Danio rerio: one gene and its partner. The main gene of each other region encodes a partner of the protein of the gene in region 2 in a complex. Links are inferred from orthologs where the notes say so. Each region holds a gene or a part of one and is shown on either strand. Other genes may lie near its edges.

Evidence for each region. Proteins that work in one complex are often made in the same cells at the same time.
Region 1: timm21 (region 2) and smim20 share a complex: the UniProt entries of both Homo sapiens proteins name them as parts of the MITRAC (mitochondrial translation regulation assembly intermediate of cytochrome c oxidase complex) complex. The link is inferred for Danio rerio from reciprocal best matches to the Homo sapiens genes TIMM21 and SMIM20.

The regions. Positions count from the first base shown.
Region 1 is NC_133182.1:65,048,600-65,057,461, reverse strand, and holds the start of smim20 (small integral membrane protein 20), read right to left. Parts: upstream 5,165-8,862; 5' UTR 5,108-5,164; coding exon 4,999-5,107; intron 1,937-4,998; coding exon 1,880-1,936; intron 1-1,879.
Region 2 is NC_133199.1:17,613,473-17,620,701, forward strand, and holds the end of timm21 (mitochondrial import inner membrane translocase subunit Tim21), read left to right. Parts: intron 1-2,134; coding exon 2,135-2,197; intron 2,198-3,579; coding exon 3,580-3,677; intron 3,678-5,793; coding exon 5,794-5,867; intron 5,868-5,953; coding exon 5,954-6,059; intron 6,060-6,139; coding exon 6,140-6,232; 3' UTR 6,233-6,557; downstream 6,558-7,229. UniProt on the Homo sapiens protein: Participates in the translocation of transit peptide-containing proteins across the mitochondrial inner membrane.

The DNA of each region.
Region 1 (8,862 bases), on a different chromosome or scaffold from region 2:
GAGCAAATTCATTGATGCGCAGTTCCACAGGTCCCAAACCAAGCAAGCTAGTGGCAACAGTGGAGGAACATACTTCACCAATTGACAAGAGTGAATGGAAAAAATCTTATCCATCTTTAAAATATGTTCATAGTTTTACTGCTATAGTGTACATACATCTATTGCCTAATTTAAACTGTATACTTTGCCCATAGTAAAACATCCATGTATATTTTATACAAATATATATTATATCTTTCCATGCTTGTGTCAACCCACCTTATTCATATCCATAATGCTATCTCTATATTGTACCATCTGTATGTATTATTGGTCTTTGCTGCACTTACTGCTTATATTTGCATTCTGGTTAGATGCCTACCTGCATTTCATTGCTCTGTAGTCTACATTTGTAATGATAATAAAGTTGAATCTAATCTAATCTAAAGTGAAGTGTAATGTGCAAGTTTGCACCCTCACACTAACAATGCAATACAAGTCCACGATATTGGAAAAAAACTGACATTACAATATTTTTCTTGCTCTATTTGGAAAGAAGTCGTCATTTTACATTGATTCGGATGATTTTGTCGGGGGGTGCATTAGCATAACATTTTCTAAATTATTTTTAAAAAAGTATACGAAAAAAAAATTAAACGAAAACAATAGAACTGAGATAAAATTACATAAACAGTGCTTTATGGTTTTCAGTCAAGTCTAACAGTATTGAGGTACACAATATCAATAATCAAATGAAAAATAAACCATTGCATAAATATAAATAATTATACAACTAATGATTGATAAAGTGGCAAATCAGGGGTGTCCAAACTTGGTCCTGGAGGGCCGGTATCCTGCAGATTTTAGCTTCAACTTGCTTCAACACACCTGCATGATGTTTCTAGAAAGCCTAGTAAAGCTGCGGTCACTCTGAGTCCGAAACCGCATACTTCCATACTATACAGTATGCTAAAATCAGTATGCGAGCCGAGTAGTATGTGTGAATTCATAGAATTCGAAGAGCAGTATGCGAGAAGTACCCGGATGACTTACTACTTCCGGCGAGATTCTGGAGTGCGAATCGTATGCATGCTGCGCTATCCCATGATGCCCCGCGAGCGAATTCATGAATGGGATTAAAGCAACGCAAATGACACAGGTACTTCACGTGACTGGGTCAAAATGGCGGATGTAGTATGTTTGAATTCCATTCATACTTTTCACATTCATACTGTATAAAACATACTTTACTAACGACCGAGTAGTACGTTTAAGTTCAAATGCAGTACCTATTGAGTAGTAGGCGGTTTCGGACGCAACGTTTGTATGTGTGAAATTCTGTCGTACGGCACTGCGAAAAGGGGGTGGGACTAAACAAGATTATTAGACATTAAAAAAAGCGAGCGATTTCTCCATGTTTTAAATTTCTGTCCAGAGAGGTCATGTTTTGTTTCTCGATTGGTTTCACACAGACAAGTGATGCAATTTTGCAGGTCAGAATTCACTAAGCTAGAACTGCACCGCAGCGAACTGCGAAACTTAACGCATGACCCTGCGTTTCCGGTCTGATGCATTCGCGTGCGTATGAATGGAAGACTATGGGAAGAAAAGTCCAGTGTGACCGCAGCTTAAGAGCTTGATTAGCTAGCCCAGGTGTGTCTGATTGGGGTTGGAACTAAACTTTGCAGGACACCGGCCCTTCAGGACCGAGTTTGGACATGCCTGTTATAAACATTGTAATTTTGCGTTCAAGTGGTTGAAATTCAATTGAAATGGCTTGAGATGCAGTGATGTGACTATTGCTGATTCACACATTGCAATATCGATATGGAAATGATATATTGCGAAGCCCCTAATGCAATAAAAAATATGAAATAAAGAGTGTTTATGAATGTCTTACCAACAGGCTGTATGTCTGCTTGATTGACTCCAGCCCGGTTCACCTTCTGCACTTGCTCTGTATCAAGAGAGAGAAAAATTCAGACACCAAAAAAAGAAGAATACAAAGAATTTTAATTCAGGGTTTCTGCAGGTGTCATCAAGTCAAATTTAAGACTTTTAAAGGGCCCTTTAAAACCATTACGAATGAAACTTAAGACTTATACAGCGCTAAACACTAATGATGATTTCTAATGGCCCAGTTGGGATAATAGATTTTTGTTTTTGCTTGTAATTATTTCTTAGCGACACACTTTACTGTGTTAAAACAGGAAGACTCTAGTTGTATTCACTATTTTCAACATAATATTTATTTATTTTTAATGACAAGTTTAACATTGTTAAAAGTATATTTATTGTGGAGGCAATTCCATAAATAACCAAACTATATATTTGTTGGCCTTTGGTCTAAATTGATTGAGTATTAACTTCTATTCAACCTAATGTGTTTCTGTTCATAAAAACTTTAAGTTTAATGCCTATTTATAAATATTATGTCTACTCCCCCTTACTTCTGTAAAGAGTTTTTGTATGAATGGAAGATAATGTTAAGGGATATATTCATTCATTTTCTTTCGGCTCAGTCTTTTTATTATCTGGGATCTCCACAGCGAAATCAACCACCAACTTATCCAGCACCTGTTTCACGCAGTGGATGACCTTCCAGCTGCAACCCATCCCTGGGAAAGGAAAGGGATATATTACTCTGTTATTATCATGAGGAACTGTGTAATGGTTTTTAGTTCTCTTTCCTTGATTTTATTAAGATGGATTGTTGGTGATTGGATGGATGTTTGCCCGATTGTGTAGCTTTAATTGGACAGAGGAAAATTAAGATCAGTTTAAAATGATTTAAGACCTACAACACAATATTCCAGTGAATATGACTTTTTAAGGCCTTCAATTTTGTTTTAGAAATTTAAGACTTTTTAAGACTCCGCAGATACACTGAAAAACTGCACTGTAAAAAAATGCAAAATGCTGGAATCCACGCAATTCCCAACACAAATCAATTAAGTTAACTTAACACATAATAAAAATCCCCTACACTCAGAGTTTCAGCTCCTTCCATCTAGTCGTTGGTTTCTTGTAACAAGCTGTAGAAGTAAACGATACTTGTATATCAGAATCAGAAAAAGCTTTACTGCCAGGTGTGTTCACACGTGCTTTCCTGACAGAGCTTTCTACAGTGCAACAGAATTACAAAGACAGGACAAAAAAACAGATAAAAAAATGTATTTTAAAAATAGAAGTAGAAAGTGAATGCAAATATACAAATTGACAAGTGTGTGTACATGTGTATTATTATATACGTTATATGTGCAGCTGTTATGTGTAAATTGGCATGTAAAGTATGTTGCTAAATAAGTGTATATGTGGATTAAAAGTGTATAGCTATAGCAAGTAGTGATGTTTTTTCTTTTCATAATTATGAGATGGATTGCCTGAGGGAAGAATCTGTTATTGTGTTGGGCTGTTCTGGTGCACAGTGCTCGGTAGCGTCGACCAGAAGGTAAAAATTCAAAGAGGCAGTGTGCTGGGTGTGAGGGGTCCAGAGTGATTTTGGCTCTTGAAATAATTATTTATTTATTCTTTTTTTTTTTTTTTTTAAAGAGTGTACGTTTTGTACGTTTATGTTTTATGTCTATTTGTTGTTGTCACTATGTGAGTTTTTTAGTGTGGCACTGCTATGAAATGAGGACTCTTGACTGCAAACCAAATCTACCTTTGGGTATAAGTAACCTAACCTAATATACATACAACATGTCTCATTCAAGAGAGCTCTGCATTGTATGTAATTCAACGTAGAATAAAATCAGCATCATAATATGTGTACATTCCTTAAAACACTGAAATATTATTTCTATAATTTACATCAGATTATAACGACTGTTCAACCTGATTATCCCAATAATACGTTTTTTAAATGTATTTTTAAAGTTCTTTTTTATCATACAAGAAAGAACAATACAAAGATACAGTATGAACAAAGAAACAAAAAGGGTTACATGACTAAAATTCCAGCAAAATAAACAAGTTTAAAAGAGTTTTACATGTAATATAATAGTCCTTTCTGAAAATAAAAAGTAAGGATGTTTTTTTTTTTATTTACATTTATGAATGTAAAATTTAGCCAAAAAAAGCAATAAATTAATAATAAATTTACAAAGAGAAGGATCTACATTCAGAAAGTAACCAAAGAAAAACATTTTGGGGAAATACAGAAATTTGGAAATAAGATTTTTTTTAATGAAATCGAAAAAGTCAACCCAAAACACTTGACAGGAAGTGCACTCCCAAAATAAATTATTTAGTGTTTCATTATATTGAGTACAAAATGCATAAAGGGAAAATATTGTTATTATATTTAGCTAGTTTTGGTATTTATTGGATGGCAATTATGAATTATTTTGATTGAGACTTTAACAGCTTTATTAGATGAAAATAAATTTATAAGATAAGATTCTGACAGTATGATAACCTTGAATAAAATATGACAGTTTCACGGTTCTACGGTAATACTGTATATGGTATTGTGATTACTGATCTAAAATGTATTTTTTTTTAAATATCTGGGTAAAAATAAAACATTTTCCCCCACTTTAAACACAATATATTTTATTTGGAGAAACAGTTAAAATTGTTTAGAACAGTTAACATGTGAGGCTAAATAATTCAAATGAATCATTGACTTATGTGGTCTTCAATTGATTTAAAAACACTAACTTTTTAACCATTTAAAATGACATCGTTGGATATCGTTTCTGCTGGAGATACTGTTGTCATAAAAAAGAAATGTAAATAAAAAATCGTACACATACCTTAGAAACGGTAAGTTATATAAGAAAATGTTGACAATTTTAAAATCTTAACTTTTGCAAACCGCGCTATACCTTGAAAACCGTTAACAGTTATTTTCCCATGCCTAACGTTAATCCCAATCTATGTCACCAAATATATTATTCCAATACGATTAATAAGTTACAAAATGCAGGGTAATCGAATGTGACGTTATGACATAAGTTAAGTTTAGGCTGTGTCACGGTGACTTCATGTGTAGTAGTGATATTAAACACTTACTGTAGTCTTCAGAGTGTGTGAGAGGATGAAAAAATATAGGATAAAAAGCTGCAGCAACAGCTGCAACGAAGCCTCCAAATATGAGCGTTATCCTCTTAGAACTGGACATGATTTTGACAGTTTCACCTCACTCGAGGACGCAAACACACTCAAGTTGTTCCGGGGTGAAGTTCACGTTAGAAATAAAAAGTTTAAAGTCTGTTCTTAACTAAAATATATTATGCATACTTCAAGCGCAAAATTAGGGTTATTATAATGTTAATGAATATTTACAGAAGTATGATATTGTACTCATAAAAATAGAAGTATTTCATATGATCATGTCAGTGTTATAATTGATAGTGCGGCTTTTATTTTGCCCGGTGTTGTCCCGTCATGCATTGTGTATGTGTGTAGTGTTGCTGTGTCAGTGTGTGTAGTGATCGCCGTCTCTCAGCTGTAAAAATGTCCGGCAGTAACTCATACAGACTGCGCTCTTCTCTCCCGGCGCACGACATGGATGTCCGGGGTCTTGCCGCTGTCGCCTTCCCGGACGGAGCGTTCGTGTCGGTGTCCAGAGACCGGACCGCGCGGGTGTGGGTACCAAACCCAAGGTACTCCAGCTCCAGCTTCCTCCTGTTGTGTCTCACACCGGCTTTACATTTGTTTTTGTCGTATACTAAGCCGTTTGGTTCGTAGTTTACAGAGTTGTTTAGCTGTACCGTACGTTGGTATATTAAGCACACTATCATTCACTTTCATCTGAGACGAAACTAAAAGGCTATCATTTCCTGACAGTGACGGATCTAAAACACTCCACTAATGAGCGTTAAAGCAATAGTAACGGTATATCCAAAATTAAAATGAAATGATTTACTCGCATTCTTCTTGTTGTTATCAAACTGTATGTTCCCTTCTATCCGTGGAACTGTTTTGACATCGTTACCATTTACTTCTTTTAACAAACAATGAAACTGAATGAACACTGAGAGTCATTCTGCCTTTTGTGCTCCACAGAAGAGTCAAGCACTGTTAACACATTTTGTGTGAAAACTATGTTTTTATAATTCTCTAACGTCATAAATTGAGTTCCGTTCTTTTTATGTGAAGCTTTATTACTTATTTATTGGTATCCATCACTGCCAGACTGTGCCAGTGCATTAGAGCTGAGCGTTGCTGTTTACTTAGAGAATGTAGGTTACATTTAGAAACACAAAGGCATAAATAACTGCGTTAAAATGAAGATAACGTTTAAACCAACATTAATTTAGAATCAATGGTTTAAAAAGGTGTATGTAGCAAATTAAAATCCAAATTAAGAAAATATTTGGTGATTTTATTCGGCAAAAGTGCATTATATTGGTTCAAATGAACAATGTATGTATTGTATAAAGAATTAGTTATTTTAAATGACTGCTTTTATTCCCTAAATTATAGTTTCCACAGAAATATTAATCATAAGAATATTTTCCAAAATATAATAAGAAAAAAATGAGGAATAAATTTTCAACATTTTCTCAATTTTTACCGAAATAAATGATATTTTCACAATTATTCGTATCATTCATTCATTTTCCTTCAGCTTAGTTTCTGATTTATCAGGGCCGGTCGCCACAGTGGAATAAACCACCTAGCCATGGGCTGGTGTAAGATTCTGATGGTATGATAACTTTGGATAGCAGTATTACAGTTGATTGCTGCTGTAAAATATATTCTTTTTTTTATTGTCTGGGTAAAATACTAAAACTTTTTTTCTCTTTGAACACAATATCTTTTATTTTGAGAAACATTTAAAGTATTTTGGAGCAGTAAACATGTCAAGCTAAATAATTCAACTGAATCTTTGACTTCTGCTGTCTTCATGTGTTTCTAACACACAGATTCATTACAATTTTAAACAACATCTTTTAATATCTTTTCTGCTGGAGACACTGTTGACCTAAAATTTAAAAAATGTAAATAAATGTTTGTATAGGACCTTGCCTCTTCCAAACGGCGGTATACCTTCAAAACGGTAATCGTTTTTCAACTACACATATGGTTTTATCCAGCCACAATCTAGTACCATGCTGGGAAACGTTATAAGTATATTATTAAAACTGAAAACAGCTATTTTAAATTTTAACAATATCTGACAGCACTGTATAACTTTTTACTGTATTTTTGATTGAGTAATCGCTAAGCGTAAGAGGCTTAGTTTAGAAATATAAAATACTTTTGAACAGGATGTATACATGTATCGGAGGCCAGCTAGTGAGTGCTGTGCAGGTAAACCTCACTCCTGACCTCACTCCTCTGACCTCTGGGTTACGTTGGTGCCGTGACCCGTATGGGATTGAGGTTTGGGGGTGAGTGTAACGGAGGCCAGCTAGTGTGTGTTGTGCTGTGCAGGTAAACCTCACTCCTCTGACCTCTAAAGGTGCTCTAGCGACAGACGCTAGAGGCCATGTTTTTTAGCCTCCTTGTTAGAGCAACCGACTCCCATGCGGGAGGTCGCTGGTTCGATCCCAGCTCTGAGTGGGTTGGGCGGTGTAGGACCGGTGGGCTTACATACAGAAAATTATAAAATAAAAAAATGTTGTTTTGCTTTTAAAAATGACACACTTCTGATTAGGGCTGCATGATATTGGAAACATTGTAAAAAAAATTCTCTGCCATATATATTGTGATCTTATTTCACCAGATGACTTAAATAGCTCTATTTGCAAAGTCATTACTTGGTATGATTTTGTAGGGGAGTGATAAACATGTATATATATATATATATATATATATATATATATATATATATATATATATATATATATATATATATATATATATATATATATATATATATATTTGTAATCTATTATATACAAAAAATACAGTCATAAATAAACACAACTGAGCTAATATTAAAGTGAAATAAACAATGCTTTATAGTTTTCTGGAGTGAGCAACAGTATTCAGGTACAGAAATTGAATAATCAAACGTAAAATTGCACTGTATAGTCTTCACCAAATAATTTAATAAAAATAATCTTTATGAAACTTTTTTGTGCACTACAAAAATGCTTTAAACTCTCTTTAAATGCTCACACAGTCACATGACCTAAAACATGCAGATGATAAACTTTCACTCTATAACTGTTCAGTTCTGCAGTGTCTCCACAAATCAGGTGTGTTTTGACTTGTGGTTTCTGATCATCTTTAATCCTAACTCAACATTGCACGTCTTGCAATGTGACTTTTGCAAACGCACACATTGCAATATCGAAGCACAAATGATATATTGTGCAGCCCTACTTCTAACATTGCCTTTTAAACTCCTCTATTTTTTTTCTTGTGCAGTGAAAACCAGAGTTTTACAGAGATGCACTGTATGAACGGCCACTCAAACTTCGTGTCATGTGTGTGTATCATCTCTCCTAATGAAACGTATCCACGAGGACTCATCGCCACCGGAGGACACGACAACAACATCTGCGTGTTTTCACTGGACCGACCAGACCCCCTGTTTACCCTCAAGGGTCATAAAAACACAGGTACTGTCTATTATTATTATTATTACAGTGGTGTAAACACATGCAGATTATCTTTCAATGGCTGATTTCTGTGTGTGTTTACAGTCTGCACACTCTCTGCTGGCAAGTTTGGCACAATATTGAGCGGCTCATGGGACACTACAGCCAAAGTGTGGCTTGGAGAGAAGTGCATGATGACTTTACAGGTAAAGTGACACGATTCTTAGTATCGCAACAGCAGGGCAGCACGAATAATTTAAGTAAAACTTGAATTGCAATTTGGCTTGGTGTCAATTTTAAGGACACAATTTAATTAGATTAAATTATGTTTTATGTGTTTTGAGAGTGAAGGACAGCATTGTGTTCTTTTACACAAGCT
Region 2 (7,229 bases):
CTCCTTTATATGGACTTTAGAAGGATATCCTTTATATAGACTGAGAAAGATATTGCTGGTAAAGTATGTGTGTATAAGAGTTGTTACATAAAACTAACTAATTAACAATAAATAAATACATTAAAAAAATACATTTTATTAAATAAATAAAGTGTCAATAAAAAAAGAAAATGATTTGTGACAGGACATTGTTTGGCTAAAGATAGCATTTCTTCAACACATGTTTTACCTGCAGCTGATAAAGTGCCTCCTAAATATGCTCTTTGTACACAGTTTAAAAGCTTAATTTTTTTTTTTTCAGATTTTTAATTTTTTTTATTATTATTTTATTCATTCATATTTCACTGTGACATGGTGGAAATGTTAAGCTTGACAATATTCAGTTTCAAACACAATATGGGGAAAAATAGGAAACGAAAGTTAGTTTAGATACTTACTGTGTGCACAGCAGATAGGCCTGTCATGGTATCTATTTTTTGTGGTTTGATATATAGCAACAAATGTTATTGCGATAAACAATATTATCATTATTTTAAGACCATTTTGACACTATAATAGCATCGTAATGCAAGTACACCCCTCCAAAGAACACAATATTTTATTCTTAAGAATATTTAATTATAGTCATTTTAACAATTTAATAATTAGGTATTGTAATTTCATAGAAAACGTATATCCTAAACAAATAAATAATAATATTAATACTATATACTAATACTATAATAATTAATAGTAAATACTATAGTGTTTTTTTTAACCATACTAACACTGACAGATTATAAACGTAATCAGCTACAATGTGGCTAGAACTAGAATAGTTTTTCATGTATGGGCGATATATGTTGCATCACCAAAAATGATTGAAAACATGTCTGTGTGTTGTACGATAAGTCAATATATTGATTATTGTGACAGGCCGAACAGCAGATGTTTTAACCTCCTCTGTAGAGGGTTTCTTATTCGAGCATTTACTACATTATGATGGAGTGGACAACAATTTTAAGGACCAATGCAAAATGGTTAATAATGTTATGAAAACAAAATAAACGTTATCAAAATGACATATTTTAACAAATAACTTGTTTAAGACTTAACTTGTTTTTTTTTTTAATCTTTTCAATTTTATCTAATTTACCTACTTTTTAGATTCACTGAAGTTGGCTGTGTAGTGTGTGGGACATGGAAAAATCACATTCATTCAGTAAAAGAATATTGGAAAATTTGACAGACATATTTCAAAACACTTCTAATTCTACCCGCTTGTGTGTAAAGGTTTTACCAATTATATTAAAACATCAGAAGTTCATTATTTCGCATTAAGTTCATATAGGACTGATTCAATCATGTGAGACATCAAAGGCACTTTATAGTGATAATAGCCCAAATACATTGTAAACATACAATATACAAAAGGTGTAACAGGGAGAAATGTGTTAACATTTTATGAAGAATGCTATGTAACTGACAATTTTATATCTGTAATGTACTTCAGCAGTAAAAACAAACAAACAACAAAAAAAACATTATTTTTCTGTTATTGTAACTTTGTTCAATTTTTAAAGGGTACTTCCAAAAATTGAAATTATGTCATGATTTACTCACTTAGACTTGTTCTAAATGAGTTAACCTTTTTTTTCCATAAAAGAAGAAGAAATGAAGAAAAGAAGAATGTTGGAAACATTGACTCATTTTTATAATTAGTTAGTAAATGCAGTTAATGTATTACTAAATGCTCAATCTAAATGGTTTATTTGAATCAGAATTTGTTGACCCAATAACAGATGCAATCAGATTGGTCCAGTTTAAAAATGAATAATTCGGTACGATTTGGTACAATGTTTTGGACTCAAATGTAGTAGTAGTGGTAATTAAAAGTAAACATTTTCTAAAATAAAAAAAAAAACTTTAATAAAGTACTGATAGTGAAGTAAACAGTACAGTTTTGATTAAAAAAAATACAAAAGGACTGCCCATCATTGTTAGTTGAGGATTGTTACAAAACAAAATCACAAATAAATCTAGCCATTGTGATTTTATAGGCATTACAAAATTGCAGTAAAATAATATTTGTAAAAATTTACTTGTAGATTGAATTGTAGCTGTTCAGTAAATAAATGTCTCCTTTCCTCAACAGTTAAACAAGCTGGCAAAGATTTCACCTATTTGATCGTAGTGCTCATTGGACTCGGTGTAACAGGTAACCAGGTCTGGATTGACGACTCTTATGTTTCAGGGCCCCATTCTCTGTTCTTACTGTGCCAGAAAACCAACAGAAAGCACCAACATGCATTTCCTAATGATGATAACAGGATGATGTCTAAATAGTGATATTAGTTATATTTTATTCACTTTGGATTTTGTATCAGCAAAATGTTCATTATTGCTAACATAGTAATTAATTTTAGCAACATGCAGGTCATGAGTTTAGACATTCTAGGAATGCTAACCATTTTTGTTATGCTGACAAAATGCTAACTCATTTGCATTAAAACATGCTAATAACAGTATATGTTATGAATATGCTAAAACATACATGTGGCTATGTAGTAAATGGTCATTCGTTCTAGTAATGCTTGCAATGGTTTAAACATGTTAAGAAATTTGCAATGTATTGCTTAAAGACAAAATTATCTGTTTACATATATTATGTAATAACCAAATACTATTTAATAAAAATGCAACAAAATTACTAAAATTAACAACTACTTCATTATAGTTTATTATTGTTCAGTAGTTTTTTTTTTTTTAATGATTTTAGTAATTTTGTGTATGATATTTTTCCACGCACATAGTGATCTTAACAACTTTGAACTCATTCATTAATTTTCTTGTCGGCTTAGTCCCTTTATTAATCTGTGGTCGCCACAGCGGAATGAACCGCCAACTTATCCAGCAAGTTTTTACACAGCGGATGCCCTTCCAGCCGCAACCCATCTCTGGGAAACATCCACACACACTCATACACTACGGACAATTTAGCCTACCCAATTCACCTGTACCGCATGTCTTTGGACTGTGGGGGAAACCAGAGCACCCGGAGGAAACCTACACAAAGGCAGGGAGAACATGCAAACTCCACAAAGAAACGCCAACTGAGCCGAGGTTCGAACCAGCGACCTTCTAGCTGTGAGGCTACAACACTTCCTACTGCGCCATATAACATATAAATAAACAAGTATTTATATTTCATTTCAGCTCCAAAGTCTTTTTTTTTGTTAACGATAACACTGACTCAAATACAATACATGAGACAGACATTATAATCATACAAATCAGTTAAATTCATATGTATTTATATAGCACTTTTTACTATATATATATATATATATATATATATATATATATATATATATATATATATATATATATATATATATATATATATATATATTGTGTCAATACAGCTAGCCATAGTCATAACATGATAAAGCCATCACTTTGCAAAACTGTGGAACCTTTTAGCAATTCAGGCAGGCAGGCAGGTTATAATCATTTCTATGCATATTTTTTTTAATTTGTATATACATATTATTCAGCAGTATAATAAGTGAACCGATTAATGTTTTCTAATCGCTTTAGGTGGCCTGCTGTATGTGGTCTTTCAAGAACTCTTTTCCTCTTCAAGCCCAAGCAAAATCTATGGAAAAGCTTTCGAGAGGTGCAGATCTCATCCAGAGGTCAGTGATTCATTAGCTATATATATCACATATGTGTAAACCTAATGTCTGAAATGCATGAATAAATCAGCCTGTTGACTACAACTTGTGATCTAATCATATTGAGCTAATCATATTCATCTGTAACATATGTTCATAGTTTTTCTACTGTAGTGTGCATACAGTACATCTTTTACCTCATTTAAACATTATAATATGTCTATGTTGAGAGGTAAGCATGATAGAACACCCAATAAAGGGGGAGAGCATGCTCAGAGCCTGGCGGCTAATCAGCAGGCCAAAAACTAGAATAAACAGGTGTTGCTTATTATTTCTGATTGGCCTGCTGATTAGCCGCCGGGCTCTGAGCATGCTCTCCCCCTTTATTGGGTGTTCGATCATGCTTACCTCTCCACAGTCTATATTAAGTAAACCTATAAATTACAGTGCATCCAGAAAGTATTCATAGCGCTTTCCTTTTTCACACATTTTTTTACAGCCTTATTCCGAAGTGAATAAAATTTATTTATTTCCTCAATTCTACACACAATACCCCATAATGACACTGTGAAAAAAAGAGTTTTTGAAATTGTTTAAAATGTATTAAAAATAAAATACCTGAAAAATCACATGAAAATAAGTATTGACAGCCTTTGCCATAAAGCTCTAAATTGAGCTCAGGTATATTCTGTTTCCACTGATCATTCATGAGGTGTTTCAGCAGCTTAATTGGAGTTCACCTGTGGTAAATTCAGTTGATTGGGCATGATTTGAATTTGAAAAGGCATACACCTGTCTATATAAGGTCTCAGGGTTGACAGTGCATGTCAAAACACAAACCAAGCATGAAGACAAAGGAATTGTTTGTAGACCTCAGAGACAGGATTGTCTCCAGACTCGGGAGGGTTGCAGAAAAAAATTCTGCTGCTCTGAAAGTTCCAATGAGCACAGTGGCCTCCATCATGCGTAAGTAGAAGATGTTTAGAATCACCAGGACTCTTCCTAGAGCTGGCCAGCCATCTAAGCTGAGTGATCGGGTGGAAGAGCCTTAGTCAGGGAGGGGATCAGTAACCCGATAGTCACTCTGTCTGAGCTTCAGCGTTCTTCTGTGGAGAGAGGAGAACTTTACAGAAGGACAACCATCTGTGTAGCAAGTAGATCTGTGTATGGTAGATTGGCCAGATGGAAGCCCATCTGGAATTTGCCAAAAGGCATCTGAAGGACTCTCAGAGCATAAGAAACAAAATTCTCTGGTCTGATGAGACATAAATTGAACTCTTTGGAGTGAATGCCATGCGTTACGTTTGGAGAAAACCATGTACTGCTCATCTCCAGGCTAATACCATACCATGTTTTTCAGCCGCAGAAACTGGAAGAATAGTTAGGATAGAGGGAAAGATGAATGCAGCAATGTACAGAGACATCCTGAATGAAAACCTGCTTCAGAGTGCTCTTGACCTCAGACTTGGGCAATGGTTCATCTTCCAGCAGGGTAATGACCCAAAACACACTGCCAAAATATGGAGTGGCTTTACAACAACTCTGTGAATGTTCTTGAGTGGTCCAGCCAGAGCCCAGACTTAAATCCTATTGAACCTTATGGAGAGATCTGAAAATGGCTGTACACCGTTTCTTCCTTTTTAACTTGATAGAGCTTGAGAGGTAGTGCTAGAGGAATGGGCAAAAAATCCCAAAGACCTGTGCCAAGCTTGTGGCGTCATATTCAAAAAGACTTGAGGCTGTAATTGCTGCTAAAGGTGCATAAAAAAGGATTGAACAAAGGCTGTGAATACTTATGTTTATGTGATTTTTCAGGTTTTTTTACTTTTAATAAATTTGCAACAATTTCAAAAACTCTTTTTTGCACATTGTCATTATGGGGTATTGAGTGTAGAATTTTGAGGAAATAAGTGAATTCAATCCATTTTGGAATAAGGCTGTAACATAAAAAAATTTGGAAAAAGTGAAGCGCTATGAATATTTTCCGGATGCATGCACATTTAACTTGAGTATGTTTGCACTCTGGTTAAATGTTAACTGCATTTCGTTACCCTATACTCAACATGTGTATTGACAATAAATAAAATACGTTTAATCGATGTTGATGGTGACTCTATGCTAACCTATATTTGCTAAGGTAATTGGAGCTTTTGGAGAGCCTATTAAAGGCTTTGGGGAAACTAGTAGACGTGGCAGAAGGCAACAAGTCAGGTAAAATACATAATATCAGTAAACTCAAACTCTTCTGTGAGATCTCATATCTCAATTATTACATATTTGTTTTTTTTTTTCTTTAGTCATTTGGAGTACATGAAGGATGGACTCAAGTACATGCGGCTGAAATTCTACATTGAGGGATCTGAACCAGGATTGCGAGGAACTGTTCATTCAGAATCAAAGGAGGTATGATGTAATATCACAAAAAGAAAATAAGTTTGTTTCATGCAAAGATGTGTTTTTTTACAGTTTTTCCTTTGTGACAGAATCCTGAGACAGGGAAGTATGAATTTCGGTATATTTTTGTGGAGATAGACACATATCCGAGGAGAACAATCGTCATTGAAGACAACAGATGAAACGAGTTTTGTAACGGTGTTAAATGCATATTGATGATTTTCAGTAGCAGACAGTGTTTTTCTTCTGATTGCTGAATTTATACTGGTGTTCTAATTAATCAAGCTTGGATTTGTCATGCTTGAATTTTGATGTGTCGCAAGATTGCGTTAATAACTGTGTATCTAGAAATTTTGACAAAGTCAAATATTGTGCATTTTGTACAAGGATTTATATGTTTGTTTTTGTGGAATTAGTGGTTTGCAATAAATATTATATAGGAAAGCATTTTAATCCATGCAATTTGAAATACAGATTAATAAAGCTATTTGATGCCATTATTGAAAATTGACTGTTGTCCTTTTAAAGTGATAGAAAAATTCATCCAATCTAAGCTTTTTAATTTTTTCTGTTTACTTTTATTTGTAAAAAATGTTTAAACATCACTTACTACTGTTTTTAGCAGAGCATTTTTTAAACTAATGCCAAAAACCAAGTGTGCCGCAAGCCTACGTTTGAGTGAAGGTTTCGGCCGTTAGATCGCCCCCTGGGGGCTGGCTGCAGTACAAGTCATAAAGCCCGCCTCCTCCGTGTTAATGAAGGAGACTTGAGCCCAAATAAAAAAAAATATTACACTTGCAATAAAATGTCCCGAAAGATAGTTCTGGTCGATTAAGGCACTGGTTATTGTGCTGAAATAGGTGCAGATCTTCATTTTTGTAAACAGTTTGTTTTTAGCAGTAATTTAATGCTGGGCGTGTCATCGTGATTGACAGCTGTGATTGACAGTTTCTCAAAGCGCGGCGTTTGAGCTTCGGCAGGAGACTGAAGTAGACTGAAATGTTATTATTCGATTTCTGTGTTATTTTACCATGACAAAATGAGTTCAGCAGTAAACTATAGTTTCTGACATACATGATCCTGGTGGAACACTGTTTATTCGCTAAGTTCAGGGCTTTTTTCGGGCTTTATTAGTTTGCTGATACACGCCTAGCCACCCAGATAGCAAAACACAGTTCC